Linked DNA regions of Macaca fascicularis. The protein of the gene in region 3 purifies or fractionates together with the protein of the main gene of each other region. This does not show direct contact. Links are inferred from orthologs where the notes say so. Each region holds a gene or a part of one and is shown on either strand. Other genes may lie near its edges. The genes, in order: PARD6G, PARD6B, LLGL2, DCAF1 and RAD18.

Region 1 (5,592 bases), on a different chromosome or scaffold from region 3:
TGAGCCCAGTCCAGCAGAGCTGCAGCAGAGCCCACCCTGGATTCCCCCTCGAGGCTGAATGGGCCATCTCTGTGGGTCACAAAAATAGTCCCTGGTCCGGTGCAGTGGCTCACACCTATAATCCTAGCATTTTGGGAGGCTGAGGGACGGATCACCTGAGGTCAGGAGTTCAAGCCCAGCCTAACCAACGTGGTGAAACCCGATCTCTACTAAAAATACAAAAATTAGCCGGGTATGGTGGCACGCGCCTGTAGTCCCAGCTCCTTGGGAGGCTGGGGCAGAATCGCTTGAACCCAGGAGGCAGAGGTTGCAGTGAGCTGCGATCACTCCAGCCTGGATGACAGAGCAAGACTCGGTCTCAAAACAAAAAACAGCCCCGGAACAATTCCACAGCTGCGGATGCCAGAAATGTGCTGGTGGGAGCTCTCCTGCCCCAGCCGATTTATGACTATGAGCAGTGTGAAAATCTGGATTTCATCTCCGTGGTTGTACCTGTGACAGGTTTGGGTGTATTTCTTCTTCGTTTTTTTTCTCCCCCCCAAGACGGAGTCTCTTGCTCTGTGGCCCAGGCTGGAGTACAGTGGCCGGATCTCGGCTCACTGCAAGCTCCGCCTCCCGGGTTCCCGCCATTCTCCTGCCTCAGCCTCCCGAGTAGCTGGGACTACAGGCGCCGCCACCGCGCCCGGCTAATTTTTTTGTATTTTTAGTAGAGACGGGGTTTCACCATGTTGGCCAGGATGGTCTCGATCTCCTGACCTCGTGATCCGCCCGCCTCGGCCTCCCAAAGTGCTGGGATTACAGGCGTGAGCCACCGCGCCCGGCTGCATTCGTTTTGAAAAACCAGCCTGTCACATACATCAGCACAGCCGGCCTCGCCTGCAAGTCAGCAGAAAGCACAGCAAGAATGCTGAGACATATTTTGCATGGGCCAAGTTAAAAACATGAATTTGACTATTTTTAAAAAGTAATTTTAAAGCTTCACTTTAAAAACAAAGTATGCGTAAAAATTTTTTAAAGCATTTGTTTACACTTGGTCAGATCTTTTCCATCACTTGGCAAAGGCGCGAAGAGCTGCACTCAGGCCTGGTACAGAGTTGTCTTCAGGCATTCATTTTAAGTTCGTGGCGAAATTCGATAAAAATAGGCAGTATTTGTGTTTCTATATCCAGAAGTTGAAACAAAGAGCTGAGTTGTTTTTGTGGTCAGAAAAACAACAACAAAGGAGGGGATGCAGTCTGCAGGTCCTGTCCCTGTCCTTACCCGGGAACTGGAGCCAGGACTGGGGGGCCTCTCAGTCTAGAGCGTGACCGCGGGCCCGTGCTCCTCCACGCCGCCCGGTGGCAGGGCCAGGCTGTGACGTGGGTCGGCCCGCAGGGAGCTGAGCAGCCGCTGGAGGCCGCCGTCCAGGGCCAGGTCCCGCTGCAGCCGCTGCGCCAGGCCCGCGCCGTTGACCCGGGAGAGGCTGCCCGCGGGGGCGCCCGGGGCCTGGGGGGGGCGTGCGGGCTCCAGCGTGCCCTCGATGACCACGTCGTTGTCCTCGTCGCTCTCCGCCTCGTCGGGGTGGAAGTTCTGCAGGACGCGCGGGGCGGGGGGACCCAGGAGGCCCGCGGTGCCGTCCGAGGCGGGTCCCGAGCTGCCCAGCGCGCGGCCGCCGCGCACCACGTTGTTGCGCTGGTTGGCGGGCTTGACGGTGACGATGAGGTTGTGGCTGTTGGCGATCATCATGTCCGTGACCTGGTCCAGCGTCTTCCCGGCCACCTCAATGCCGTTCACTTCCAGGACCTCGTCGTTCACAGCCAGCAGCCCGGTGCTCTCCGCCAGGCCCCCGGGGACCATGCGCGAGATGAAGATGCCGGGCACCTTCTCCAGCCCGTGCGGGGTCACGCGCACGCTGGCGCCGTCGCGGATGTAGAAGCCCAGCGGCTTCTCGCAGCCGTGCCGGTGCAGCCGCACTCGCCGGTGCGTCTCGGGGACCAGGTCCACATCGATGATGGACGACACGGGGCGGAAGTCGCGCGGGAGGCCGATGTCCAGGTGTGCGCGCCGCCGGGGTCCTTCGTCACGCAGCGCGCCCAGCGCCCGCCTCCGCCTGCACAGCGAGCCCGCGCCGAGGCTGCCACGCTCGGCCTCCTCTGCGGGAGAGGGGACAGTTAGAGGGACACACACCGAGCCCCGCCTGGGCCCTCGGCCGCCACCTGGCACTGCTGTTCCATCTGCGTGACGCCGAAGCACCCAGGTGCACAGGAGCGTCCCAGACCTGCAGGCTGGGCGGAAATCAGGCAAGCTCCAGTGCCGTCCCCTAAAATTAACTCTCTAGCGCTCTCCTTGCTGCTCCACAGGCACCAAACCAAAGGACTTACCGACTAAAAGGTGCTAGCAGGCACCTGCAGCAGAGAGAATCAATGGCAGAGGAGGGTTTGGGGCCCGGCGGACTGGCGAGTGCCTCAGCCTTCTGGGAGGCAGCAGGCTGGACTGGGGACTTCTTAAGCTTTGCCCATTCTCCCATATTTCCTTCTCTAAACTGTAAGATGGAGGCTCGTCTCTTTTTTCCTAAGGTTAATTACAACTAAGAGAGACCTTTCCTGCTGCTGCTTTCCTTTCTATGTGCAAGCCCCACCACGGTGTCTGCTAGTCAGCATTCAAGGCCCCTGAAGGTGTCGCTCAGTCGGGCGTGTGAGCATTTCCCTGCATTTTGGGTTAGCAGCTGATGAGGGGAGACAAGTGGACGAAGGAGTGGGAGCAGAGGACGGCTGCTTCCCTTCTGTGGGGCCCCACACACTGTCAGTGGTATCTGTAGGTAGGTGAAGCCTGAAGGCTGCACGGCTCCCTTCCTCAGGGACGCTGTGGGACCCGCCTGGCCACACCTGCCAGCCTGTGGCATGACACATTTGTGGCAGTGTGGAAACTTTACCCTAGAGTCGGGCTACTGCAAAATAAAAGTCCACTGAATTAATCAAGCAGAAACGTTGTAAGGAACTTAGTGTAAAGTAAAAATTTTAAGTGAAGACACTGGTGGCATTTGGAAACTCTGAATAAGGCATTTTCCTTGAGTCAGAAAAAAAAATCTTGTTTTATTTAATTTTTATAGGAAGCCTCTTTTGTTTTTGACACACAAGGGTCTGTAAAACAGGTGTCTTGGGGAGCAGAGGGAAGGGCTTGCTCTGCGAGGCTTGGTCCTGTGGAGTTGGTGGCATCCACAGCAGCCTGCTCTTTGGGCTGGGGAGGCTCACATCTTTGCTTTGCCAGTGAAAGCCAGGAGGGCTGGGAGCCCAGGCAGAAGCAATGCCATAAACAGGCGCTCCTCAGAGCAGAGACCTCCAGACTCCAGGCGTCAGTCTGGCTTCTGCCTTTCAGTGAGCAGGCAGGGCCCATTATGACCTGCTTTGGAGATGGGGAATGCTGGGTGACAGTTCTGGAAAGGACTCGAAGGCAAATTACTTTCACCATGGAGGCAACATTCAGGCAGCCTGGAGGGGAGGCCAATGCTCAGGCATCACCTCTCTCAACCCAGCAGAGCCCATGGCTGCCTAGACAACAAGAAGGCCCTAGCACAGGCTCTGGAACATGCTGCAGGCAGCAGGGTTAGTGCACCCTGGAGCTGGGATGCCTCAGCATGAGAACTGTCTTCCTGGGAGCTGCATCCCGGCCAGCACTCCACACAGCTGCTCAGTGACGGAAGCCATCCATCATCCCTTATCAGCATCATTTATTACCCACGGACACAGTAAGGTCTGAAAGGGCTTTAGAAATAAGATGACTTTTAAAAACTACACCTGTAAACCCTGTTTACCCTGATGTGATTGTTAGGCATTGTATGCCTGTATCAAAATCTCATGTAACCCATAAATATATATACCTAATATGTACCCACAAAAATAGAAAAATAAATTAAAATTACAATTGTAATACTCCTTTCCAGCTGTGACCACCTTTCCTGCACACTCACACGTACACATGGATATGGTTGTCTGTGCTTGTTTTATAGAAACAAGATCTCAGTTTCTGGCCAGCACCCGGCCTCTCTGCACCTCACAGACTCTGCAAATGCTTACTGGGTGACTTCAGGGATACAGATGAGTGGATAAAGTCCCTGCTCTGAAGTAGCCATGAAGCAAGTGGGAGCAAGAGATACAGACTGAATTTTCCATACAGCCACACGGAGAGCACCGTGAGACACGATGTGCACAGGATACGATGGGAACAGTGCAGGGGCATCTGGGGAGGTGGCAGTGACGCTGCCCGGGGGGTGTGGATCCACAACAGAGTTGAAGAGAAGACGCCGGAGGGTGAGGGGCTCAGACTCTTTCCGTGATGAGGAGAGGCTGAGCCTTTAGCGTTCGTCTGGTCTGGCTGCCGCCGCAGGTTTGGATTAACCAAGGGCCTGGGACAGAGTGGGCTCTCCCTGGACTAAAAGCTAAACCTGAACAAAGGCATCTGCCTCATGGTGTGCTCATTCTAAGTGGGAGGGAATGTGGATCCACGGGGCCACAGATGGAGGTGTGGCAGCATCCGAGGCACAGTGCTCTGCCTGTTTTCCATGATATGGGCTCTTCCCAAGGGGTCTCCTTGGATGACAAATCTATGCACTTTCAAGAGGGCAGCCCTTCTGGCAAACTCATGCCTGCAAGAACACTGTCGTGCATGTGGCCATCCACATGCTCCTCCCCGGGGACAGGCCCTGTGCTCGGGGCTGTGAGCAGCAGGGCCCAGGAGAAGAGACTGAGGTTTTATGCAGGGCAGGTGAGGCCTGACTGTGATGCTGAGGGTCGGGGAGTAAGAAATGGTGCGTGTCCATGCGCGAAACAGCCTGGCTGGCTGTCCCACACACGGGCAGAGTACAGTGAGGCCTGGCCTGGGAGAGGTGACACCTCCTGTTCCAAGCATCCTCTTTCTCTCTACCACTGACTCAGAGTTTCAGATTCAATTTCACCTCCCTCCGGGAGCCACTTGTCTTCAAGTCCCAGTTCACAGCCACCCATCCCGGGAGCCCCACCCCTGTTCCGCATAGTGCATTCCCTTCCACCAAAACCACAAACCTGTCTGCGTCACAAGGGCCAGGCGACAGCATCTCAGCCATCCCCACAGGGCAGCAGGTGCTCTGGCCGCAGTGCACGGTGGACCGGATTAAGGCTTAAGCCCAGAACTGTGGGATACAGAGAAGGGCACAACGGGCCAGCCCCCTTCTCGTAAGGGGCTTATAAATCACAGGTAGACCAGGGTTCCCTGCACCAATAAAAGCAAGTGTGTGGACCTCTGCTTCCCGGGAGTCATGTAGTCCTTCCCATCCCTCCTGCTAAGTTCAACAAAAACCCTGGATGTTACATACAAAACATAAGATGATGCAGGAGAGAAGTCACACTAGCTGGGGCCTCAGGACCCGAGAAGCAACATGGCAGCAGCTCCTTGGGTTTTCTTTTAGCCTCGTCATCTCAGACTTGGAGCTGAAGGCATCAGCAACCTGGATGCACCAACAGTCATAGACCAAAAAGCCCCAACAAACGTCTGCTCTGTCTGGACGAAGATCAGAAAGAGGCAGCCTGAAAGGATGGAACACGTGTGGACAATAACTGCCCCACCTGCCGCATCCCACTC
Region 2 (6,355 bases), on a different chromosome or scaffold from region 3:
CACTTTTGCCAATGTTGGTATGGGAAAAAAAACCAAGAGAAATTATTATGCTTCTTGCAACACAACAATAGGATTAAGAGAACTTTTTACATGAACAAAAACACTGAGAGACAAAATTAAGATTCAATCAGCAATTATTCACTATGTGAACCATTTACAACTGTTTTATCGCCTAATCTAGTTTGCCCTAGTCATCCAGAATGCATATGGACTCCCTTCCCCCAGTGTCTGTTGGTACATTCTAGAAATGCAAACTTAATTTTCATAATCTATTTGCCTATGAATAATAATTAGGAAATTTTATGACTTAAAGACTGTTCCAGGGTTATTAAAGGACATCACCATGATTATTAAGAATCTTCCCAACCCTAGAGATACAATTAGGAAGATAAATCAGTTACCAAAGAAAAGTCACATACTAGCTGGTACCACAAATTGAACTATAGGTATATTTACATTCTTCATTCTTTTATTATCATTACTATTTTTCCCTTCCACGTGTGAAGATAACAATGTTGACACTACTGCTTTATTGCATTTTTTTATTTTTTTGAGATAGAGTCTCCCTCCCTCTGTTACCCAGGCTGGAGTGCAGTGGCTCAATCTCGGCTCACTGCAACCTCCACCTCCCAGGTTCAAGCGATTCTCCTGCCTCAGCCTTCAGAGTAGCTGGGATTACAGGCATGAGCCACCACACCCAGCTAATTTTTACATTTTTAGTAGATACAGGGTTTCACCGTGTTGGCCAGGCTGGTCTTGAACTCAAGACCTCAGGTGATCTACCTGCCTTTTCCTCCCAAAGTGCTAGGATTACAGGTGTGAGCCACCGTGCCTGGCCAACACTACTGCTTTACATGAAGAAAAAGAGATCCTAAAAATGGACCGGAACCCAGTGGGGTGGCTAACACCTGTAATCCCAACACTGTGGGAGGCCTAGGTGGGCATATCACTTGAGAACAGGAGTTAGAGACCAGCATGACCAACATGGCAAAACCCTGTCTCTAAAAAGATAAAAAAATTAAAAATAGTAAAACAAAAATGGACCAGCTAGGTGCAGTAGCTCACACCTGTAGTCCCAGTACTTTGAGAGGTGGACGCAGGCGGATCACTTGAGCTCACATGTTCAAGATCAGCCTGGGCAACATGGAGAGACCCCGTCTCTACAAAATAAATAAATAAAAATAAGCTGGGTGTAGTGGCGCACGCCTATAGTCTTGCTACTCAGGAGGCTGAAATGGGAGAATCGCTTGAGCTCAGGAGGTTGAGGCTGCAGTGAGCCGAGATCGTGTCATTGTACTCCAGCCCCGGTGACAGAGCAAGATCTTGTCTCAAAAACAAAACAAAACAAAAAGGACCTGCACACTACCTAGTTTTGGTTATAAACTCTTAGCAATCAGTTTCGTAAAAAGCTGTGATATCACTAAAGCAATGTCAAAGAAAATACTGTTTCAAAAATCTGTCCAAATATTTTTAAAATATGTATCAGCAATATATATTTGAAACATATAAGGTGTCACAGACACATTAGAAACACTCCCTACCTATACCTTGCCTATTTGTCAACAGCTAGAATAGTGGGACCGACTTCATTCAGCACATGTTCCTAGAATCAGTGTATGATTCTATTTAAAAGACACAGTTCACTAAAAGCGCAGTATGGCAGTTCAAATATACAACATGTAGTTTAGAAGTAAGTGAAAGATTCACAAGTCAGTTGACAAGAGAAAGGCAAAAAGCCTGAAATTCCAGTTTTAAAGCACTCAAGGTTTTCTTAGTACTAGAGATAAATTACTGTTTGATTGTACTGATCAGTATACTTAGAATTCCTACTCATTTTTTTCTATGGAAAAAAATTAAAGACTTGCTACCAAGATTAGTGCTATAAACTTAAAATTTTAAGACGATGCAATATCACAAGTGTTTTTCTTTCCATAACCTCAACACCCACAAATCCAAACCAGACTTATAACAGAAATGCCGTAAGAAGGTTCAACCACTGGGCATGGAACCACTACTGCCACTATACACCGCTAGTGGAAAAGCTCTGCTATATATTTTGGGTCATCTTAACGCTATAGCTCAAGCAAGTCACTTCAATTTGCTATGCTGTGCACAGAGGACACATGGACGTGCACATTCCTTAAATTGCTATAACTACACTTCTATTCTTACTAATTCTGAAACTAGTGCCAATCCTCATATGAGTTAAGTGCCAAATCTTTTTTTTTTTTGAGATGGAGTTTTGCGCTTGTTGCCCAGCCTGGAGTGCAATGGTGCGAACTTGGCTCACTGCAACCTCCACCTCCTGGGTTCAAGCGATTCTCCTGCCTCAGCCTCTCAAGTAGCTGGAATTACAGGCATGTGCCACCACGGCCGGCTAATTTTTTGTATTTTTAGTAGAGATGGGGTTTCACCATGTTAGCCAGGCTGGTCTGGAACTCCTGACCTCAGGTGATCCACACGCCTTGGCCTCCCAAAGTGCTGAGGTTACAGGCGTGAGCCACCGGCGTCCTGCCTCAAATCGCATTTTTTTAATGATGTTACAAACGAATGTAGATTTTCTCGATGTGATTCTCAGTTACAGAAACTTAACAGAACTTGGCTTATCAACCCTAGACAACAAAACCATTCTACCCAGACGCTCTAGGAAGCTTTCCTCACTCCACTGGACCTCACTCAAATCACTCCTTCATTTTACATACTCCTTGGTAGTCTTACCATCTACGATGCTCCATTACATTTTTTTAACTGATGTACTTTCAATTTTCTCCTTTTCTGTGTTTTGGCCTTCTCAATTCTATTTTAAATGTTCTCAGGGCCCAGCCAGTGTCCTGTTTTGTATTCTGCAGTGCCTAAAAGTTATTGTTAAAAAGGCATGAAGGCTTTGCAAAAAGCAGCTTGGGGAAGTCATAACCTTTCTGAGCCTCAGTCTTCTCAGAGAATTGGACTAGATTATCTAAGCTCCTTTTAACTCTTTAACTCAAGAAACGCTTGCTGAAAATGTTCCCGTGGCTGCCCATCACCTTCAAATTCCACCTCAAAACCCCCTTTGGAAGGCATTCCCTAACTAATCCCTCTCTACAGACTACCCTGCTCACCGAGCCTTGAGACTTAGAAATTCAGTGAATACCGCAGTAATCAGCAGACTGGCATACCGTTGGTCAAGGGGAAAAGTACTTGATGTGAGTAGGTAGCAGGATGGAATGAAAAGAGCATCTAGACTCAAACTGTAAAGTGCTACTCCAACGTAAGGTGATAGTGCTAATTTTACAGATTAAATGCATACCAAAGTTAGTGCTACAAAGAGCGCCAGCAGGAAGCAAAGCGAACTTTTAAAGGGTTGTTTAGTTCACTGGGCTCTCTCCTTCGCCGCTCGATGCGCCCCTGAACCACAGAAAGTGGGAACAACGGGGTGGTCCAGGGCCCACACTCACAGCCCAGCAGGCAGGATTCTCCTACACCTTTTGAGCCGCCTCGCATTCCACTCAGTGTGTGCCATCCTCGGGTATACCTTGGCCCCTACTCCCGTCCGTGAACACGGGAATGAGATTTACGGAATGAGATTAAATGCTGGACTAGGTCTTCTCCCTGCCGGGGCCAGGGGCGGACACTAGCGCCCCCCGATCCCCGCCGCCCCCTCCTTGGCAAGTTTATTACCCACAGTCTCCCGCCCGCACCGTCCAGACCCCGGGGCAGCTCTGCCCGTCGCCTCCCACAGCGCTTAGAGCCTGGCCCAGCCTCTCCCAGGCCCCGGCCCTCCAGGCCCGCCGCTCCGCCCAGCCCGGGCCCCGCGCACCTTGCTCTTCACCTCCATGGTGCCCAGGCAGCCGCTGCCCGCCCCGTGCCGGTGGCTGCGGTTCATGCTGAGCGCCGAACTCCGCGACGGCCTCCTCCGGTCGGGCGGTCCCTCAGGAGCGCGGGGAGCAAGTGCGCGACCGGAGGTCTCGGAAACCGGCTGCGGCCCGGGCGCCTCCTCACAGGCACCTGCAGAGGGGGCGGCCGCAGCTCCTGCGTCTGCACTGAGCTCCACTCCGCCAGCTACTCACACAGCGGGACCGAGGGTCGGACTGGCGGCGCGGCAGGCGGGGAGGCAGCTCCCTCCCTCCGGGCCCCGGCGGCGACGGCGACAGCGCTGGAGGAGGAGGGGGCGGAGCGGAGGCCACAGGCGCCGCAACCTCTCCCTCGGCCACCTCCCCCGCGAGCCCGCGCGCGCGCACCCGAGCCAGCCACAGCCGCGGCGCGCGCGCGCGCTCACCTGCAGCTGCCGAAGCTGCCGCAATCGCTCGCGCTCCGCCCACACCCAATAGGAAGCGCGCACCTGCGCCCGCGGCGCCAACCAATCGATACACGCCTCGCGCGGTGCGTGGGCGGGCTGCCTCCTCAAAAACCCCGCCTACCACCGCACCATTGGTCCTGCGCTACGAGGGAGGGGCGGGATCACCTGAAGCTATGGACCTCCGCCCCGCATCAAGCCGGAGAGACAGAAGGCGCATGCGCGGGTTCTGGAGTTTCCGCCCCGGGAAGGCACGCGGGGAGGCCGGCCGGAAGCGCGAGCGCACCTGAAGAAGGGCTCGGCTGGGTGGGCCTTTTGCGCACGCGCGGGTGCGCGCCTCGTTGCCCGCGCCGCCGGGGGCTCTCGCCGTTTGGCGCGCGCCAGTCACACGCACTGCCCGGGGATGGGATGCGCCGCGCGACCGATTGCAGAGGCCCCGCGGGGCTGTTCGGTTCCCGCCGGTCACCCTCACCGCTTCCAATTTGGGATGCTGCAGCCCCCAACGACGCCCCTCCACTGCCCCTTATCGTCGCTTAGGCGTCCCGCTGCAACTCTTGGTTACAAAATTCAAGTTTTCCCGCCTCTGCAGCAGTTGCTGGGGGAGAAGCTTAGGGCTCTCTTGGCTTGATTTTATCCGAAGAGACACCCTGCACACCCTAAGTCCGTCAGGTCGAAAGGGAAGGAAAGTGGGCTGAGGCGCGGGAAGGCTCCTTGCAGGCCCAGCCTCTACTCCGGTCTTTCCGGGTTTTATTTATTTATTTTTTTCTTTAAACCTATTAAGTCTTCCTCTTCCCTTCTCCCGCCATTCCTTGGCCATTCGCTGTTTCTACAAATGACAGCCTCTAGGTTGTGTTCGTTTCCCGGAGTGACCAAGCTGTGTCCCAGAGCAACAAAACGCTGAATCCTCCTCTCTGAACGTCCCAAAGCCCGGCCTCTCTTCACACAGACCCTGTTGGTCATGGAGAGGCGAGGAGAAGACTGAAGATTTTGGCTGGAGGAGATTCCTAGGTCCCAAGGGCTCCCTGTGGGACCTGGGAATCCAAGAGCTGTTGAAACCTGCAAGCCAGGAAGGGGGCTGTGGAAATGGAGGTGGAGGGGCAGGTCCAACCTGAGATGTGGCAAGAAGAGTGGTTAGGATACCTTCCTCCCCTCATCTCCCTTCCCACCCCGGATGCCTCCCAACACTTGTACCCCTGTTTCCCAGCACTTGTGACAAGTTCCAGGTTTCCCATTTTTGTGTGCATCTGAGTTTTGTGAGTAATCCGCCTCCAGCCTAGAATGAAAGCTCCCAAAGGCAGGGACCGCTTGTGCTTTGCTGGCATTGAGTAGCACAGAACCTGGCTCCCAGCGGGTCCTCAGATGTGTCTTTGCTGGGTGCTGCAGCTGAGGGTGTCCGTTCTGCAGGCTCTTTGCGTCACCTGGGTTCAAAGGTGAGAAGCTCATTTTTCCCCCCCCCCCTGGAGGATTTAGGTCACCAGACGTTTATGGGGGAATTTAAGGTTTTTCTGGCCACCTGTGGCAGCACAGGTGGAAAGGACACCAATCCAAGCTGAATAATAAATAAGCAAGCTGCCTCTCTAGGCAGCTTCGAAAGCACATAGGAGGTGACTAAAGCTCAGCCGGAAATAAAGTGCGTGTCAGGGAAACTGCAGGGCCTGTAACTCCCCTGTTTGGACTAGCACAGCAGTTCCCAACTTTTTTGTTTTCAAGACCCCTTTACACTATTAAAAATCATGGAGGACCCCAAAGTACGTTGTTCATGTGTTATGTCTTTCAGTATTTATCTTAGAATTAAAACGGATGAGGCCGGGCGCGGTGGCTCAAGCCTGTAATCCCAGCACTTTGGGAGGCCGAGACGGGCGGATCACGAGGTCAGGAGATCGAGACCATCCTGGCTAACGCGGTGAAACCCCGTCTCTACTAAAAAATACAAAAAACTAGCCGGGCGAGGTGGCAGGCGCCTGTAGTCCCAGCTACGCGGGAGGCTGAGCCAGGAGAATGGCGTGAACCTGGGAGGCGGAGCTTGCAGTGAGCTGAGATCCGGCCACTGCACTCTAGCCTGGGTGACAGAGCGAGACTCCG
Region 3 (5,592 bases):
GACTCTTGTTCTGAGAAGTTCCCCCAAAAAACTGGGTGAGGGGAACCCTGCTGTGTGGCTTTGGACAAAGCCTTTACCCTCTCTTGCCCTGGAGTTGGCTTCAGAGTTGAGCATCCTGCACCTGAATCCAGGAGGCACCGGGGGTGGGCCCTGCCCGGCGGGTGAAACACTGACCGTAAGGCACGAGGCTGCGGAGGGGCTCTGGTTGCTGGGCGTCGCTGGACACGGGCCACTGGCAGTAGCTGCCATCGGAGTGACAGCTGACGAGTAGGCGGCCGTCCCGCTGCCACCAGATGTTCTCCAGTTGCTATGGAAGAGGAGGAGAGAGACAGAGGGCAGCACGCTGGACCGAGGCAGCATTCCCATCATCTGCACCCCATGCCTCTGCACAGAGCGTGGATGTGCCACATGGGGCTCTGGGAGAGCAACATGGCGCCCGCCATGTCCTGGGCACTGCCTACCTGGCTGCTGAGGAAGTGGTAGAGCACACGGCTGCCCTGCAGGTCCCAGATGACAACAAGACCTCGGCTGTAGCCGATCAGGATCTGGTTGGGGTCTCGAGGGTGCTCCTGCAGCGCCTCCACCATCTCGAACACCCGCCGGTGGCGGGCCTCCTCTGGCAACCTAGACGAGGGGAGTGCCGTGAGCCTCCGATGCCATCCGCCAGGGAGAATGGCCCCCGGAATGGCACAGCCACAGGGCTCCCTATGCAGAGGTGGCTGCTCCATGTGCCAGCATGGAAATATGGCTAGGGGCTGGGCGCAGTGGATGGCTGAGTGTGGTGGCTTATGCCTGTAATCCCAGCACTTTGGGAGCCCAAGGTGGGCGGATCACTTGAGGTCAGGAGTTCGAGACCAGCCTGGCCAACATGGCAAAACCCTGTCTCTACTAAAAATACAAAAAATTAGCCGGGCGTGGTGGCACATGCCTGTAATCCCAGCTACGCGGAGGTGGAGGCAGGAGAATTGCTTGAACCCAGGAGGCAGAGATCACAGTGAGCCGAGATCACGCCACTGCACTCCAGCCTGGGTGACAGAGTGAGACTCCATTTCAAAAAAAAAAGGAAAGATGGCTAGGACATGTCACCAAGGGGATAGGGGGCAGCATGTAGAACAAGACAGGGACATGGAGACAACCTCCAGTGATGTAAATACAGGCGGTACAACTATAAGGCAAGGCAAGGCAGTGACTTCTGGAAAAGTCAACGTGGGGGCAAGAGGGAGCCTTGACTAGGAAGGGTGCGTGAGGCCCCCGGAGGGCATCAAAGTTCTATTTCTACGTCTGGGGGGATGGCTGTAAGGATGCTCTACAAAAATCTGTTAAACTGTACATTCATATTCAGTGCATTTTTGCAAAAGGGAGTGTTTAATAATAAAGAAGTTTTTTAGCCCCATAAAACAAAACTCTATGAGTTGGCCTGGCCCTGGAGCCTTGACCCCTCCCCCGTCTCCAGGCCTGGAATGCTGACCTGAGGGCTGGAGGTGTTGCAGCCAACAAAAAAACCACAAGGCAGCAGGCACAGGACCAACAGCCAACAGTGAGGCTGTGGGAAGCGGACCCAGCCTGGACCCAAGCCACACTAAACCCAAGCTCTCCACATTATCTATACCTGGCACATCTACTGCTAGCACTGACCTCACTGACATTAGAATCTGAATCGAGAGTGAGAGTTGAAGGGGACTTTAATATTTAATTTTTTTTTTTTGAGATGGAGTCTCGCTCTGTTGCCCAGGCTGGAGTGCAGTGGTGTGACCTCAGCTCACTGCAACCTCCACCTCCCGGGTTCAAGTGATTCTCCTGGTTCAGCCTCCCAAGTATCTGAGATTACAGGCACCCACGACCATGCCAGGCTAATTTTTTGTATTTTTAGTAGAGACGGGATTTCGCGATGTTGGCCAGGCTGGTCTCGAACTCCCGACCTCAGGCGATCCACCCATCTCCGCCTCCCAAAGTGCTGGGATTACAGGCGTGAGCCACTGCACCCGGCCTAATTTTAAAAATTTTTAGAGACAGGATCTCATTCTGTCACTCAGGCTGGAGGGTAGCGACCTGATCATGGCTCACTGCAGCCTCCAACTCCTGGGCTCAAGTGATCCTCTCACCTCCCAAGTAGCTAAGACCACAGGTGTGTGCCACCTTGCCCAATTAATTTTTATTTTTTTGTGGGGAGAGACAGGGTCTTGCTATGTTGCCCAGGCTGGTCTCAAACTCCTGGCCTCAAGCAACCCTCCCATCTCAGTCTCCAAAAGGGCCGAGATTACAAGTGTGAGCAACTGTGCCCATCTAGATATTCTTAATAAATGCAAATAATGCCCTTATACAGATGAAAATTGTTAGACAATTAGAGGGCTTCCAACTTTTTGCCATTAAAAACAGCCCTACAATGATCATTGTTATCCTGTATCTTTTCACAGAGACTTCTCAGAGACAGAGCTGCAAGACTAAAGGGCTGGACGTTTTAAAAACTTAGATGGCCGGGCGCGGTGGCTCACGCCTGTAATCCCAGCACTTTGGGAGGCCGAGACGGGCGGATCACGAGGTCAGGAGATCGAGGCCATCCTGGCTAACACGGTGAAACCCCGTCTCTACTAAAAAATACAAAAAACTAGCCGGGCGAGGTGGCGGGCGCCTGTAGTCCCAGCTACTCGGGAGGCTGAGGCAGGAGAATGGTGTAAACCCGGGAGGCGGAGCTTGCAGTGAGCTGAGATCTGGCCGCTGCACTCCAGCCTGGGCGACAGAGCGAGACTGTCTCAAAAAAAAAAAAAAAAAAAAAACTTAGATAAGTGTAATCAAGTGGATGAGAATGTAAACTGCCAAAAGGGGCCAGGCGCGGTGGCTCACACCTGTAACCCCAATACTTTGGGACGTGGAAGTGGGTGGATCACCTGAGGTCAGGAGTTCGAGAGCAGCCTGGCCAACATGGTGAAATCCCATCTCTACTAAAAATACAAAAACAAGCCGGGCGTGATGGCGTGTGCCTGTAATCCCAGCTACTCGGGAGGCTGAGGCAGGAGAATCATTTGAATCTGGGAAACAGAGGTTGTGATGAGCTGTGATCGTGCCACTGTACTCCAGCCTGGGACAGAGTAAGACTGCCAAAAAAAATGTTTTTTTTTTTTTTAATAAATAAACGAACTGGGCCAGGCGCTGTGGCTCATGCCTGTAATCCCAGCACTTTGGGAGGCTGAGGCAGGCAGATCACCTGAGGTTGGGAGTTTGAGACTAGTCTGACCAACATGGTGAAACCCCGTCTCTACTAAAAATACAAAATTAGCCGGGTGTGGTGGCGCATGCCTGTAATCCCAGCTACTTGGGAGGCTGAGGCAGGAGAATCGCTTGAATCCAGGAAGCAGAGGCTGCAGTGTGCTAAGATCGTGCCACTGCACTCCAGCCTGGGCAACAAGAGTGAAACTCCATCTCAAAAATAAAATAAAACATAATACAAAATAAAATAAACTGGCAGGAGGAGCTCTCAGGGCACATGGGCCCCCCTGCCAACTAGACTCTCACCAGCTAACTACAGGGTGAGGCTAGGCACTGGTGTGGCCACCTGCTGGGGTGCACATCCCATGCCATCCTGCCCACAGGCTGTGTCCCATTGTGGTACTTGTCATCCTGCAAAGTGTTCTGCTCTGACCTTGGGCACAGAGCCCTACCCTGCTGAACCGGAAAGGCAGAGGTCTGCACTCAGAGGGATATAGCCCCAAGTGGGATCCTCCCAGCCCAGCAATGCCCTGCCCTGGGTAGATGGTCCCTGCTTCATTACCACCCAGGGCTGGAGAGATGGGCTGGCCAGCTGCAGGAGTGTGTCCTGGGCCCAGTCCAAAGCCTTGCAGGGCCAGGGGCCAGCACCCTGGCCTCCTCCTGTCCCTTGGAACCACAGATCATTCCACCACAAGCGACCTGGCCCCCACACGATCCTGTCAGACGCTATCCCCTCTTTTTTTGGGTCCCATCCCATTCTCCACAACCGGACCTGATCTGACTCCCTCTCTATCATAGTTCCATCGACAAGCGGAGCAAAGCTTCTGAAATGATCTCAACAGACCCACATGCCTGTGGCGGTCAACGCTTTTTAGCCACGGAGCCTGCGAGCAAATGGAACCTCAGCAAAGTGCCCACAGCACAGGGTGGCACCAGGAGCTGCTCTAGTAATGCAGGGAGGTCTGGGCCCGACTTCCCCGCTATGGAGCCCCTGGGGTTTTGAAACCCATGGCAAGTGCAAATGACACTGGACTGAGAGTCGGTGACATTACACAGTCATTTGGGGCCTTTAGATCCCCCAAAGTCCCCTTTTTAGTGCTATGATGCTAACCTATGATAGGCCAATAGGTTCTCAGTAGGGGACAGGTAGGAAGCCAAGAGCCTCCCCTGCTAGCCCCATGGAATTCCCAGCATAGAAATGACAGCTCCTGAGAGAGTCCTGGGACCAAGGGGAGAAGCCATGCCTAACTTGAGGGGATGGGGTTAACAGCAGCCGGGCTCTGGGCTCACCGCTGCAGCACCGCGTCCGAGCTGATGGTCCGGTCCTCCAGCGCGCGAAAAGCTGGCAGCTGCACCACAAACACGTTGCCGCTCTCGGTGCCCAGGTACAGCAGTTCGCACAAGGAATGGGGCAGGACCACGGTGATCTGTGTGGCACTGGGGGCAGCCCTGTGACAAGAACAGCTGCCTGTGAGCTGACCGCTGCCCAGCAGGGGAGACCCCATGGACAGGGTCTCCTGACTCCTGGGAAAACAAGCCCATAAAAATTCATGGGGTTCATGACCTTTCAGCCCAGGACAAACACTGGTCACTTTCTGCCAAGACAGGAGACAGATGGCAGAGAGGCTGGGCTAGGAGGTAGGAAAGACGCCAGGGGCCCTCCAGCATAACACGGGGTGTGGGCGGATGGAGGAGGTGGGCTGCGGCCCCACCCACTCCACTCGGAGCACCTGAGTATGGGGATGCATCGGGTCAAACGCATGCCAGGCACTGCCAGGGGCGCAACAGGCCCCACGAAGGGTGAGTCCACTCCAGAGCTAAGGGCAAGGGTCAGGCTGGGCTGGGAGTGGAAGGGGCTGGGGACTGAGCCCTTACCCTGGGGGGCCACGCAGTGTGAAGCTCTCATCCTCCTGCAGCTCCGATGCTCCGCCCTTGACCTTCAGGCTCCAAAGGTGCAGGCTGTTGTCATCCAGCAGGGTGACCAGCTGGCACTGGCGAGGGCACAGGGATGGGAGCATGTGGTCTTGCTACCCAGCAAGGCCTTTACACACTGGGGCCGCCCAGCCTGGGCTGGTTGTTTCAAAGACCCCCTGGCCACTCCCAGCGTGGCCCACGAGCCCCACCTGTGGAAAGGGAGGGGGTCCCAGGCCTTTCCAGCAGCAGCAAACCCAGGGCCACTGAATGCCAGCCTCTCCACACCAGCCCTGCTGGAAGCAGTGAGGGCAAGGAGGGTGTGGAGGTGGCTTCCTGTCCCACCCCAGGTCCCTCACCTGGCCGGGCAGGAGGTGGATCTGCGTCACTGCGTTGTTCTCCCGGTGCAGCCCCATGAACTCCACGCCCGGGGCTCCATAGCTACGAGCAGGCTCAGGAAAGCTCTGGAAGGCCAGA
Region 4 (6,060 bases), on a different chromosome or scaffold from region 3:
GTGGGCAGATCACCTGAGCCCAGGAGTTTGAGACCAGCCTGGGCAACACATGATGAAATCCTGCCTCTATGAAAAAAATTTAAAAATTAGTAATAGTAGTACCTACTTCAATGTTTGTTTTTTAGTTTTGATTTTTTGTTTTGTGAGACGGAATCTCGCTCTGTTGCCCAGGTTGGAGTGCAGGGGCGCAATCTCTGCTCACTGCAACCTGTAGTTCCAGCTACTCAGGGAGGCTAAAGCAAGAGAACTGCTTGAGCCTAGGAGGTGTAGGCCACAGTGAGTCATGACTGCACCACCGTACTCCAGCCAGAGCAAAAGTGCGAGACCTTGTCTCAAGAAAAAAAAAAAAAAAAGGCTGGGCACAGTGGCTCATGCCTGTAATCCCAGCTCTTTGGGAGGCCAAGGCAGGCAGATCACCTGAGGTTGGGAGTTTGAGACCAGCCTGACCAACATGAAGAAACCCCGTCTCTACTAAAAACACAAAATTAGGCCGGGCACAATGGCTCACGCCTGGTAATCCCAGCACTTTGGGAGGCCGAGGCCGGTGGATCACAAGGTCAGGAATTCGAGACCAGCCTGGCCAACATAGTGAAACTGCGTCTCTACAAAAATACAAAAAAAATTAGCCAGGCATGGTGGCACGTGCCTGTAATCCCAGCTACTCGGGAGGCTGAGGCAGGAGAATCACTTGAACCCAGGAGGCAGAGGTTGTGGGGAGCCGAGATCGCACCACTACACTCCAGTTTGGGCAACAAGAGCAAAAAGACAGTCATCTTCACCTTGTTATGCCCAAGACAGTGAGGATGCATTACTCAAGTTCTTAAGTGAGTTATTTAAGTGCTATGAAGAAATGATGGTCTGTCCAATGGTGACACATAGTTACCAATTAGTGAATATCTAGTATGGAACAGACATTGAGTAAGTAATTTACTACACTTACATTATTCTGAATTTTCACAACCATCCTACCCTTTTTTACACATGAGGAAACAAGCTCCGAGAGGTCCCCAAGACCAGCTAGTACTAGGTAGAAAAAGTATTTCAAGGATTCAAATCCCAATTCTGCTGACATACCTGTGAAGTCTTGGTTATTTAACTTCTCCAAATCTCAATTTCCTTATCTGTAAGATGGAAACAGTTGTTGTGCGGGGTTAAATGACAATATTGTCCCCATGGTGGGATAATACAAAGCCTCAAGAAATACTTATGTAAAATTTCCTTATCCTAACAAGTGTCTGCTAGCGTAGTCCACAAAATAAATATATAGATACCACACACAAAAACAGAAAAAATATGGCATAATATTAACAATTGTTTGCCGGGCACAATGGCTCATGCCTGTAATCCTAGCACTTTGGGAGACTGAAGTGGGTGGATTACTTGAGGCCAAAGTTCAAGACCAGACTGGCCAAAATGGCAAATCCGCATCTCTACTAAAAATAAAAAAATTAGCCAGGCGTGGTAGCACACACCTGTAATCCCTAGCTACTCCAGAGGCTGAGGCATGAGAATCACTTGAACCCGGGAAGCGGAGGTTGCAGTGAGCGGAGATCATGCCACTGCACTCCAGCCTGGGCAACAGGGCAAGACTCCGTCTCAAAAAAAAAAAAAAAAATTAAAAACTTGCCAGGCACAGTGGCTCAAGCCTGTAATCCCAACACTTTGGAAGGCCAAGTCGGGAGGATTACTTGAGGTCAGTTGGGCAACATTTCGAGACACAGTCTACACAAAAATTTAAAAATTACCCAATCATGGTAGCCTGTGCCTGCAGTCCTAGTTACTCAGGAGGCTGAGGCAGCAGGCTCCTTTGAGTCCAGGAGTTAGAGGCTGCAATGAGTTATGATCACACTCGAGACCATCCTGGCTAACACACTGAAACCCTGTCTCTACAAAAAATTAGCCGGGCGTGATGTCAGGCGTCTGTAATCTCAGCTACTCAGGAGACTGAGGCAGGAGAATGGCGTGAACCTAGGAGGCGGAGCTTGCAGTGAGCCGAGATCGCATCACTGCACTCCAGCCTGGGCGACAGAGCGAGACTCTGTCTCAAAAAAAAAAAAAAAAAGGGTTATGATCACACCACTGCACTCCAGCCTAGGCTACAGAGCAAGATCCTGTATCTAAAAAAAAAACAGTCTAGGTGTAGTGGCTCGTGCCTGTAATTCCAACACTTTGGGAGGTTGACAAGGGAGGATCACTTGAGTTCCAGACCAGCCTGGGCAACACAGTAAGACTACTGTCTCTACAAAAAATAAATGAATAAAAATAAAAAATTTAAAAACTGTATAATAGGCAGAACAGTAAAACACTGTACTCAGCAACTACCCAAGAGGTACTGAGCAAAAAATGATTTCCCTACACTCCCCAAATTCTCTATTATCTCAACATCCAAATATATATACCTACTCAAAAATGGGTAATGAATAACTGCTATATAGAAAACCCAAATGTTCACATCATTAAGAAAAATACTAAATCGATTCCTAAAGTCTACATATACACACATAAACATTAAAGGTAAACTCCAGTAAGCTGGAAAAAGAAAATGAAGGATATTACCAATTAACCTCTCATTCTGTACATTAACAATGCATTTTGAACAGGAAGATGCTACTAACATAAAAAATTAAAACGTGTAAAGACTAATTAAAAGGCTTCATCGAAAAAACAGGGTAAGGAAAAACCGAGACCAACATGACGTGGCCAAGGACAAGTCATTTCTGACTCAAAAATAACTAATACAAACACTCCAAAACTATTTCCTCAACAAATGGAAAACCAGAGCGCTGCCACTGCAGTAAGAGGAAGCCAGACAGAAAACCGTCTAGGAAGTGAAGTTGTGAAGCAAACGCTTCTGAAACCCCAGTTGAAAACTACTATAACCCCCGGAAACAGACTCCCGGGAAGTTTGGCGGGCACTCTGAGGTTTGACTCCAGGCTGCGGGACCCGCACACCTCTTTCCAACCCTTCCCTTCTTCATGGGGATGAGAGGAGTGACCAGAAAGCTCCGCCCCCGTCGCAAGGTCCAAGAGCCGGGCGGGTGCAGGGAGAGGTGGCACGAGGCCGAGAGACTGGAGAGCCCGCCCAGGTGACTGGAGCCGGAGGCGGAGACACAGTCCGTGAAGGGGCCCGCCGTATAGTACGGAAGATGGAGCCCCCCCAAGCCCGTACGGAACAGAGACTAGGAAGATTGGAAGGGAAAAGATGACAAGGGATATGACATGCGCCCCTCCCTCCAGGTAGGGGCTGACACACCCCGCCCCCCCACTCCGGGCGGAAGAGTTACTCTCGGGAAGCTTCTCGTGGGGAGTGGAGGAAGAACGTGGAGGCCCCGCCCCCGGGACAAGAATCAGGAGGAGGAAAAGTCCTGTCAGGCCCCGGGCCCAGCCTCCCGGCTGACCGGCCCGCCCCCTCCTCGCCGGCGGCCCAAGCAGGTGCCGCCCCTCCCCCAGCCCGGCGCCCACTCTGCCGCCCGGCCAGCCACGCGCCCTGCCTCCTCGCGCCCCTCCCGTAGAGTCGCCTCCCTCCATTTCCCACTCACCGTCCGAGGCGGCTCCGCCACTGCCCCCCCGCGACCCCGCCAGTGGCCACAGTTCACACACACAGCCTCAGGTCCCGCACTCACTCTTCACTCACATACACACACAGCGCGACCACGGCTCCACAGCGGCCCACATATTATGCGTCACTCGCGCGCTACGTGCACCGCGCGCGCGGGCGCGCGCGCCTACTTGGCGCGAGGACAGTGAGCAAGGGGCGGGAGGAGAACGCCTGCACGATCCGAGGAAAATCGAAGAGCCCCGGGGACGCCTGGGAAATGAAGTTCCGCGTCTAGGGGCGGGCCCACCAGTCCCAATTGACGCATGAGCTCTTCGCCCCGCGCATTGACTTCTGGATTTGTAGTTTTTTTGGATAAATGCGAACTGCTGAGTACTCATTGGCTGCTTCGGAAAGCGGAAGTGAAAAGTGAGGGAGTCAATCCTTCCAAGACAGTACTATAATCGCCTGATGCTTTAGTGTCTTGTTCTGACCTGTGTGCGCAAAGAGCCTCTGTTTTATTCGGCTATTTGCCTCATCTTACCTAGAACATACCGTGATCTAAGAAAATATTTTCTCATAAACATATCAGAAATCACAGCACTCATTAAAACAGAAGGCACTAGTTGTTTTTTATGTGTTTGTTTTGAGACAGAGCCTCGCTCTGTTGCCCAGGCTGGAGTGCAGTGACGATCTCAGCTCACTGCGACCTCCGCCTCCCGGGCTCAAACAGTCCTCCCACCTCAGCCTCCAGCTGAGACTACAGGTGCATGCCACGACACCCAGTTAATTTTTGTTTTTGTTTTGTGTGTGTGTATTTGGTAGAGACATGGTTTCACCATATTGGCCAGTCTGGTCTCGAACTCCTGGGCTGAAGCGGTCCACCCACCGGGGCCTCCCAGCCTCTTTGTTCTCCGTCTTTTTTTTTTTTTTTTTTTGAGACAGAGCCTCGCTCTGTCACCCACGCTGGGGTGCAATGGCGCAATCACAGCTCACTACAGCCTCAACCTCCTGGGCTCGAGCTGTCTTCCCACTTCAGTCTCCCAAGTAGCTGGGACTACGGGTGTGCACCACCACACCCAGCTAATTTTTTAAAATTTTTGTAGAGACGGAGTCCCACTGTGTTGTCCAGGTTGGTCTTGAATTTCTAGGCTCAAGTGATTCTCCTGCCTCAGTCCCTCAAAGTGTTGGGATTACAGGTATGAGCCACTGCGCCCAGCCTCTCTTTTTGTTCAAGACCTAGCCTGTAGGAATCAATAGATACTTATTGCCAGGTATTATACGTGAGGCAGAGAAGTGAAAAATCAAAAGCTCATAGATTGAGGCAGGACTGACCTCACAGGTCACTTAATTCAATTTCTTCATGTTATTGGGAAAAATGAGGCCCAGAGGGAGTGAGTGACTTGCCCAGCATCACACAACCAATTAGCAGAACCAGAAGACTCCTTACTCCGACCAGCGGTCCCTTTTGCGGGGCATAGAAGATAAACATGACTCCACATTTGAGGAGAATCTTGACCTGACAAGATCCTACCCAACCTTCAAGGCCTTACGCAGCTCATTATCTCTCTGGGAATGCTGAGCAAGTCTCCGTGCATTTCCATGAGTCTTCACGGACAATACTGTCACATGAACACAAGACACAGCAAGCCTGCCGCTATGCTCAGTGTTCCACAGCTAGTAAGGAACCTGAATCCTGGTTCCCTTGGTTTCACTCCCCACTAGATCCCATTTCCCTCTTTCCAGAAAAGAGACCATCCTCCTTCTCTTAAATGTGTACTCTACTGTGTGCTGGGAGCGCCACAGACATGTCACCTCTCTTCACTTCTTTCTCCTGCAACAACACACAGCTTTCTTCTCTGTGCTTCTGGAACTTTGCCTCTATCAGTAATGGCCACTACCATTTCTTTCAACTTTAGAGCATGCTGGGCTCTGAGCCAAGTGTTCTAGCCACACTCTCTCATTTAACCCTCACTACCCTGCCACACACACAGGGAAGATATGGTTAATCACCTTTACAGATGAGAAATCTGAACCCAGAGAGGTAGATCAAGGAATGGAACCCACATGCCTTTCCTCCAGCACTCCTTCAGGTGACTTTCCTGGGCCATGAACCTAAAATGTATGGAGATGGGACATTTAAGCCTTAGATATCTCCCCTCTGTCTATGGTCTAGCCGGCCCAGTGATGACTTCTCCAGTGGCTGGGGTCCTAAAAGGCAGAGCCCTTAAGGGAGCTCAAGGCCCAGCTCACCAGCTCCTGGCACTGCCTCAGCCTGCCACCAGATGGCACTGCTTCATTTCAGAAACCCAACCTGGTCAGCGTGCTGTGGCTCACGCCTGTAATCCCAGCACTTTGAGAGGCTGAGAATCTCTTGATCCCAGGAGTTCAAGACCAGCCTGGGCAACATAGAGAGACACCCCCCACTCCACTGTCTCTACAAAATATCTTAAAAATTTGCCAGACATGGTGGTGCATGTCTGTAGTCTCAGCTATTTATGAGGCTGACTTGGGAGGATTGTTAG
Region 5 (5,592 bases), on a different chromosome or scaffold from region 3:
CACCTCTTGGTATTCATTTTGTCAGTTGTAGATGGTTAACTTTCATTGTCCTAGCTTTACTGTGAAGATCTTTTGAATTTCAGGTAAGAAACATAAATGTGAATTTCAGCTTCTGGTGGATCAGGCTAGAAAAGGATACAAGAAAATTGTTGGAATGTCACAAAAAACAGTAACAATAACAAAAGAAGATGAATCTACAGAAAAGCTATCTTCTGTATGCATGGGTAAGAAACTATAATTAAAAACAGACATATGTTGAATTTCATTATTTACTTTTAATATGAAAAGAAAATTAAACCAAGGAAATTTACTTTGGAGTTCCTACTTCTTTGAAATGAGGAAAAGTATTTTTAGACAAACTTCATGTAGCAGTTTGTAAACTAGATTTATTACTGTGCGGAAAATGGTTGGAAGAATGTCCTGAAGAAACAATCTCTTTTTGTCTATCATCCTTTCAGTTAATGACAAATCATAAATTTCTTAGTTATTTAAGCTTGAGGATGTTTTCTAGGTGTAGAATTTATTGGTGGAGATCCTGAGAGATCCTGTAAGAGAGTGAATTATTTTTGTGATAGAACACTGGTGTTTACTTTGGATGAAATGTTCTGCCAAACGGTCTAAAGCTAATATACTGGTAGGCTAATACAGAGCACATTCCTTAACTTTGATCCATTTTAAAATTTGAAATTAATATTTTAATTCTATTGCCTGGGCTTTGGACCAGTGAACAAAAAAGAATCATAATGGGGGAAAGTGTGCAAGAAAATTCCTTATCATGTTTTTCTATACTGTGGCAAAATATATATAATACAATATTTATCTTTTTAACCCTTCATAAATGTATGTCATTGGCATTAAATACATTCACAATATTGTATAACTATCACCAATGTCTATATCCAAAACAATTTCATCATTCCCAGCACAAGCTCTGCACTCATGAAATAGCAACTCTTCCGTCCCCTCTGCCTCATAGCCCTGGTAATAACGGTTCCACCTTTTGTGTCTATGAGTTTGCCCATTCCAGGTACCTCATATAAATGGAATTGTATAATATTTTCTTTGTGTGTTGACTTCTTTCTCTAAGCATAATGCTTTCAGAGTCCATCAGTGTTGTAGCATATTTTAAAATTTCTTATTATGATTAAACAGTATTCTGTAGTATGTATATGCCATATTTTGTTTATCCATTTATCTGTTATGGTTATTTCCACCTTTTGGTAATTATAAATAATGCTGCTATGAGCATTGATGCTCAAATATCTAAGTTTCAGCTTAGAGTGGGATTTCTGATTCATATACTGGTTCTATGTCTAACCTTTTGAGGAATTGTTAAACTTTTCCGTAGTGGCTGCATTATCTTACATTCCCACCAGCAAAGCATAAGGGTTCCAGTTTCTTCACATCCTTATCAACGCTTGTTATTTTCTGATTTTTAAATTTTTTTAAAATTGTAGATGTGAAATGATATGTAATTGTGGTTTTGATTTGCATTTCCCTAGTGACTAATAAACAATTTGTGCATAAGGTGCTGCCTCAGTATGTAACTCATGGTCTTTGAACAAATCGAACTTGTTCATGCAATTGTGAAAGGATATTTCTAGAAACTAGTTTAGCACTTGAGAAAATCTGACTGAATATTTCCCATTAAGAAAACTTTTTTTTATTAGTTGAACCTCTCTTGAATATCATTGATGGCTTGTATGTATTTATGAACATCAGTATTACTCTTTCTGGGGTTCAAAGGTGATTGCTGCTTTTAGATTGCTGTGCATGAATGAGATGTCTGAGAGGGTAAGGAATGTGAGAGAGGTGAAGACAGACACAGACTGACTAAAAAGATGAATTTTGTATAGCATCATACAACCAATATAATTGTTGCTCTTTAGGACAAACATTGAAGTGCTCATGTAAGTGAACAAGTTGCATATTCTCTCAAGTGAAAACTTAGCCTGTTTTTGTTGTGTGTCTCTGGGGAGCTCTGATGTCTGAGCCTCACTCCTGAGGCTCTATTTTGAAGTCCTGCATTCTGAGATCTAAGGGCAGGTAGGAAGGATAACTTATTTTTTATGCCTACAGATTATTGAATGCTGTTTGTCCCCAAGAAGGAATATATTGTCTAGAAGTGTATGTAAGAGTGGAAGAAGTAAGAAAAGAATACAGACAATGTGCAAAAATAAAAGATTGTTTTCAGTTGAATTCCTGTTCCCTGGTTTGCTTTTTTGCATGCGCCTCACTAGTTGAGTAATATAGTCCCTGGGTGAACCGAGTTGACTGGGGGATTGGCTCCTCTTAATGTGATCCTGGTATCTGTTTACAAGAGGAGTTCTTAGAGGTTCAGGATGGTCATCCTGGCTAACTTCTTTTTCTCTTTTCCAGATATACTTTAGAGGGTGCTGTTTTGTTTTGCTAATGATAGTTTATTGATAGCCAGATGACATTAGGAGCATATTTTTAGGAATTATACTCTTGTGAAGTATGCTGTTCTCCCGCTATAACAAAAACTTAGAACTATTTCTGAAAAAAATTTGACTGTGTGAACTTGGCAAGGTTTTTTGAAGAATGTGTTATGTTCTTTCCCCATAAATTCTCTCTGTATAACCAAACCTTGACAATTGTATTTTTATTGTGCTTCGTTGAAGACCACTTGCCTCTACAAGTGCTTGAGGAGTGATGTGTGAAAGCTCTGTTTCTCTGTGAGGAAACACATGAAAGGAGCTCTGTACTATTATTAGCACGTGTAGCTTGCATGCGAAAGTACCTCCTCAGTTCCTGAAAGTTAAGGACAGCACAGATGAAAATCCCAGCAGAGTTTATGATGAGTAGGAGAATCCTGGGCACTAAAGAATCTTTCGCAGATATTCTTCTCGCTCATATTTGTAGAAAATTGGCCATTCCCATATGCCACATTTTTGTAAACACTGCATCCTTCCAGCTTTTTGGGGTCTTTATTTTTATCTGCAATAAGAGACCTTAAAAGCTGAGAATATGACAAAGAATGCATGGAAATGTGATGTATATTGGATCAAATGGAAATATTCCTTATGTCTGATTAGTTGTCCTTTTCCATAGAGAATAATTAGATTCTATTTAACAGGTTTAGAAAAATGTCCAGATAGATTCACTATCATATAGTAGTGACAAATATTGTGGTTGTCTTATTAGTTGAATCTGTAGTCTTTTTTTTTTTTTTGGTTATACATCTTACGTTGGTTTGTCAGTGTTCTCTGATCTATGAAATATGCAAGAATTCCTCAGTGATATGTTAATAGATGCCTCATTAGAATTACAAGATTCTTCCTGCTCCTGGTTTTAAAATAAATTTTATTTTTAAACTAATTAATCTTGGAAAAACATGGGCTGGATAGTATAATTAGGTAGCACCATTGTAGTGTTAATTCTTGCTCTCTGGCTGTCACTAGAGTTCTGGAATCAATGTGACATATTCTTCAACTTTACTAAGTGCATATGGTAGTATTAAGTGTTGCAGAAGTAATAGGCGTACAGAAGTTGTAGATTTTAACGTACTCTTAAATTTATTTTTTCCTAGGACAGGAAGATAATATGACCTCAGTAATAAACCACTTTTCTCAATCAAAGCTGGTAACAAACCACTTTTCTCAATCAAAGCTGGACTCCGCAGAGGAATTGGAACCTGACCGAGAAGAGGATTCTTCTAGCTGTACTGATATTCAAGAAGCTCTTTCTTCACCAGAATCAGATTCATGCAATAGGTAAGAAACATGCAGGAGTTGATTATTTTAAATATCTACCTCATATGCACACATAGATAGTTAGGCAGAAATAATTAGAAAGTAGCTTTGAGGCATGGTATGGTGTGTCACTCTTACATTTCAGTCCCCTTTTACTGCTGGGTCATCTTCACAGTGGTAACAAGGCAGGATTTGGGAAGGAAGTACAGGGATCAGAGGGTGAGTTTGGTATAGGCTTTATATAGCCTTTTTATAGATATAAAAAGGCTCTATAGCCTTTTTATAGATATTTTTCCTACCGTTGGAAAAGAAAGCATGATAGGCAGTGAAATTTTTGTCAAGACAATGAGTGAAGGAGATAAAAACAACTGTATTGGAAAACAGAGATGATCAGAAAGACATGGCACATAGGAGAGTTAAGAAATGAAAAATTTAACTGAGTAAATAGATGGGGAAACTTTAAAAATGAGAAGTTTGGTAATGAGTCATTTTGAAAAGATATTTTAAAAATATATAGGGTTTATTTTACACACACACATGCATGCACACATACCATTTTTTCTGGTCTTTCACTTAATATGTCATAAATGTTAACATTTCTATAGGTTGGCACAAAAGTAATTGAAACCACAGTTAATTTTGCACCAACATAATACCTTATGTTTATAATTGTTGTTTTTAAATGAGTACAGTATTTTGTTATGTCTCTGTACCATAATTTACCAGACCCTTCAGTTTCTGTTAGAGCTCTGCATTTTTTCCAGTGTTCTACTTACGTGCCTGATGCTATGGTAAAGCTCTTCCTTTGTTCCTATTGAATACTTTTTTTTTTTTTTTTTTTTCATTTTTTCGAGATGGAGTTTTGCTCTGTTGCCCAGCCTGGAGTGCAGTGGCGCAATCTCAGCTCACTGCAATCTCTACCTCCCAGGTTCAAGCATTTTTCCTGCCTCAGCTTCCCAAGTGGCTGGGATTACAGGCCTGTGCCACCTCACCTGGCTAATTTTTTTGGTATATTTAGTAGAGATGGGGTTTCACCGTGTTGGCCAGGCTGGTCTCGAACTCCTGACCTCAAGTGATCCACCCACCTCAGCCTCCCAAAGTGCTGGGATTATAGGCGTGAGCCACCATGCCTGGCCACTTTTCTTACATTTATTATTCTGATAGGTAGGCATTGCCTTCCGAATGAATTGTACTGATTTAAAAAATGCTACCAGCAGTATGTCAATATGAGTGTGTCTTGGAAGTTATTTGATCTTTGGTGTTAGTTTATTTAAAAATTAGTAACATTGCTGTAGAATGATAGACTATTTCTAATCTAACTAATGGAATTATTAGTACATTTTTTATTAGTATACCCAGTGACCCTCTGTTTTTGTAGGATACCTGGGAAACAGTTTCAAATTAGTCAGAATGAAGTATTAGGAAGGAGAAATCTTCCCATCTCATTCCAAAGATTTTCAAGATCAAAAAATTATATTTCTAGTTGACTGAGGGTAAAACATAGGGTTGCGTGATTTGTTATCGTAGATCAGGCCATTCCTGCAAGTCCAGTGCAGTATTTGTTTTTAAACACACATGTAGGAATACAGAAAAAAAAAAATCAGAGTCAGGGGAATAAGAGTTAGATTTTAACCATAGTCATTAGATGCTTGAATGTTTTGGAATGCCAGAATGATTTGGGACATTTGAGAATGGCAAAAACTGAAAGGGAAACGTGGGGCAGTCAGATGTCTTTATCTGGTTGTGAGAATATGGGAAGTGGGGCGAGTTTGTTGATGTCCTAGCCTCATTCAGACTTGTTGGCATCACTGAACTATGAGAGGACTATGGGAAAATGTCATTGCTTTTAGGTATACCATGGCCGAGGAACTAGGAGAGC

What was found.
Region 1: the proteins of LLGL2 (region 3) and PARD6G purify together in Homo sapiens (affinity purification with mass spectrometry; 4 studies listed by BioGRID and IntAct, counting the BioPlex papers as one, with this or other methods). This does not show direct contact. The link is inferred for Macaca fascicularis from reciprocal best matches to the Homo sapiens genes LLGL2 and PARD6G.
Region 2: the proteins of LLGL2 (region 3) and PARD6B purify together in Homo sapiens (affinity purification with mass spectrometry; 7 studies listed by BioGRID and IntAct, counting the BioPlex papers as one, with this or other methods). This does not show direct contact. The link is inferred for Macaca fascicularis from reciprocal best matches to the Homo sapiens genes LLGL2 and PARD6B.
Region 4: the proteins of LLGL2 (region 3) and DCAF1 purify together in Homo sapiens (co-immunoprecipitation; 3 studies listed by BioGRID and IntAct, counting the BioPlex papers as one, with this or other methods). This does not show direct contact. The link is inferred for Macaca fascicularis from reciprocal best matches to the Homo sapiens genes LLGL2 and DCAF1.
Region 5: the proteins of LLGL2 (region 3) and RAD18 purify together in Homo sapiens (affinity purification with mass spectrometry; 3 studies listed by BioGRID and IntAct, counting the BioPlex papers as one, with this or other methods). This does not show direct contact. The link is inferred for Macaca fascicularis from reciprocal best matches to the Homo sapiens genes LLGL2 and RAD18.

Annotation. Positions count from the first base shown.
Region 1 is NC_088392.1:851,341-856,932, reverse strand, and holds part of PARD6G (partitioning defective 6 homolog gamma), read right to left. Parts: intron 2,133-5,592; coding exon 1,297-2,132; 3' UTR 1,261-1,296; exon of another isoform or gene 1-1,260. UniProt on the Homo sapiens protein: Adapter protein involved in asymmetrical cell division and cell polarization processes. May play a role in the formation of epithelial tight junctions. The PARD6-PARD3 complex links GTP-bound Rho small GTPases to atypical protein kinase C proteins.
Region 2 is NC_088384.1:106,833,902-106,840,256, reverse strand, and holds the start of PARD6B (partitioning defective 6 homolog beta), read right to left. Parts: upstream 4,070-6,355; 5' UTR 3,863-4,069; coding exon 3,797-3,862; intron 1-3,796. UniProt on the Homo sapiens protein: Adapter protein involved in asymmetrical cell division and cell polarization processes. Probably involved in formation of epithelial tight junctions.
Region 3 is NC_088390.1:81,958,517-81,964,108, reverse strand, and holds part of LLGL2 (LLGL scribble cell polarity complex component 2), read right to left. Parts: intron 5,557-5,592; coding exon 5,475-5,556; intron 5,196-5,474; coding exon 5,080-5,195; intron 4,654-5,079; coding exon 4,495-4,653; intron 625-4,494; coding exon 462-624; intron 308-461; coding exon 175-307; intron 1-174. UniProt on the Homo sapiens protein: Part of a complex with GPSM2/LGN, PRKCI/aPKC and PARD6B/Par-6, which may ensure the correct organization and orientation of bipolar spindles for normal cell division.
Region 4 is NC_088376.1:114,509,493-114,515,552, forward strand, and holds the start of DCAF1 (DDB1- and CUL4-associated factor 1), read right to left. Parts: upstream 3,667-6,060; 5' UTR 3,540-3,666; intron 1,122-3,539; 5' UTR 1,075-1,121; intron 1-1,074. UniProt on the Homo sapiens protein: Acts both as a substrate recognition component of E3 ubiquitin-protein ligase complexes and as an atypical serine/threonine-protein kinase, playing key roles in various processes such as cell cycle, telomerase regulation and histone modification.
Region 5 is NC_088376.1:147,159,526-147,165,117, reverse strand, and holds part of RAD18 (E3 ubiquitin-protein ligase RAD18), read left to right. Parts: intron 1-83; coding exon 84-224; intron 225-3,550; coding exon 3,551-3,734; intron 3,735-5,592. UniProt on the Homo sapiens protein: E3 ubiquitin-protein ligase involved in postreplication repair of UV-damaged DNA. Postreplication repair functions in gap-filling of a daughter strand on replication of damaged DNA.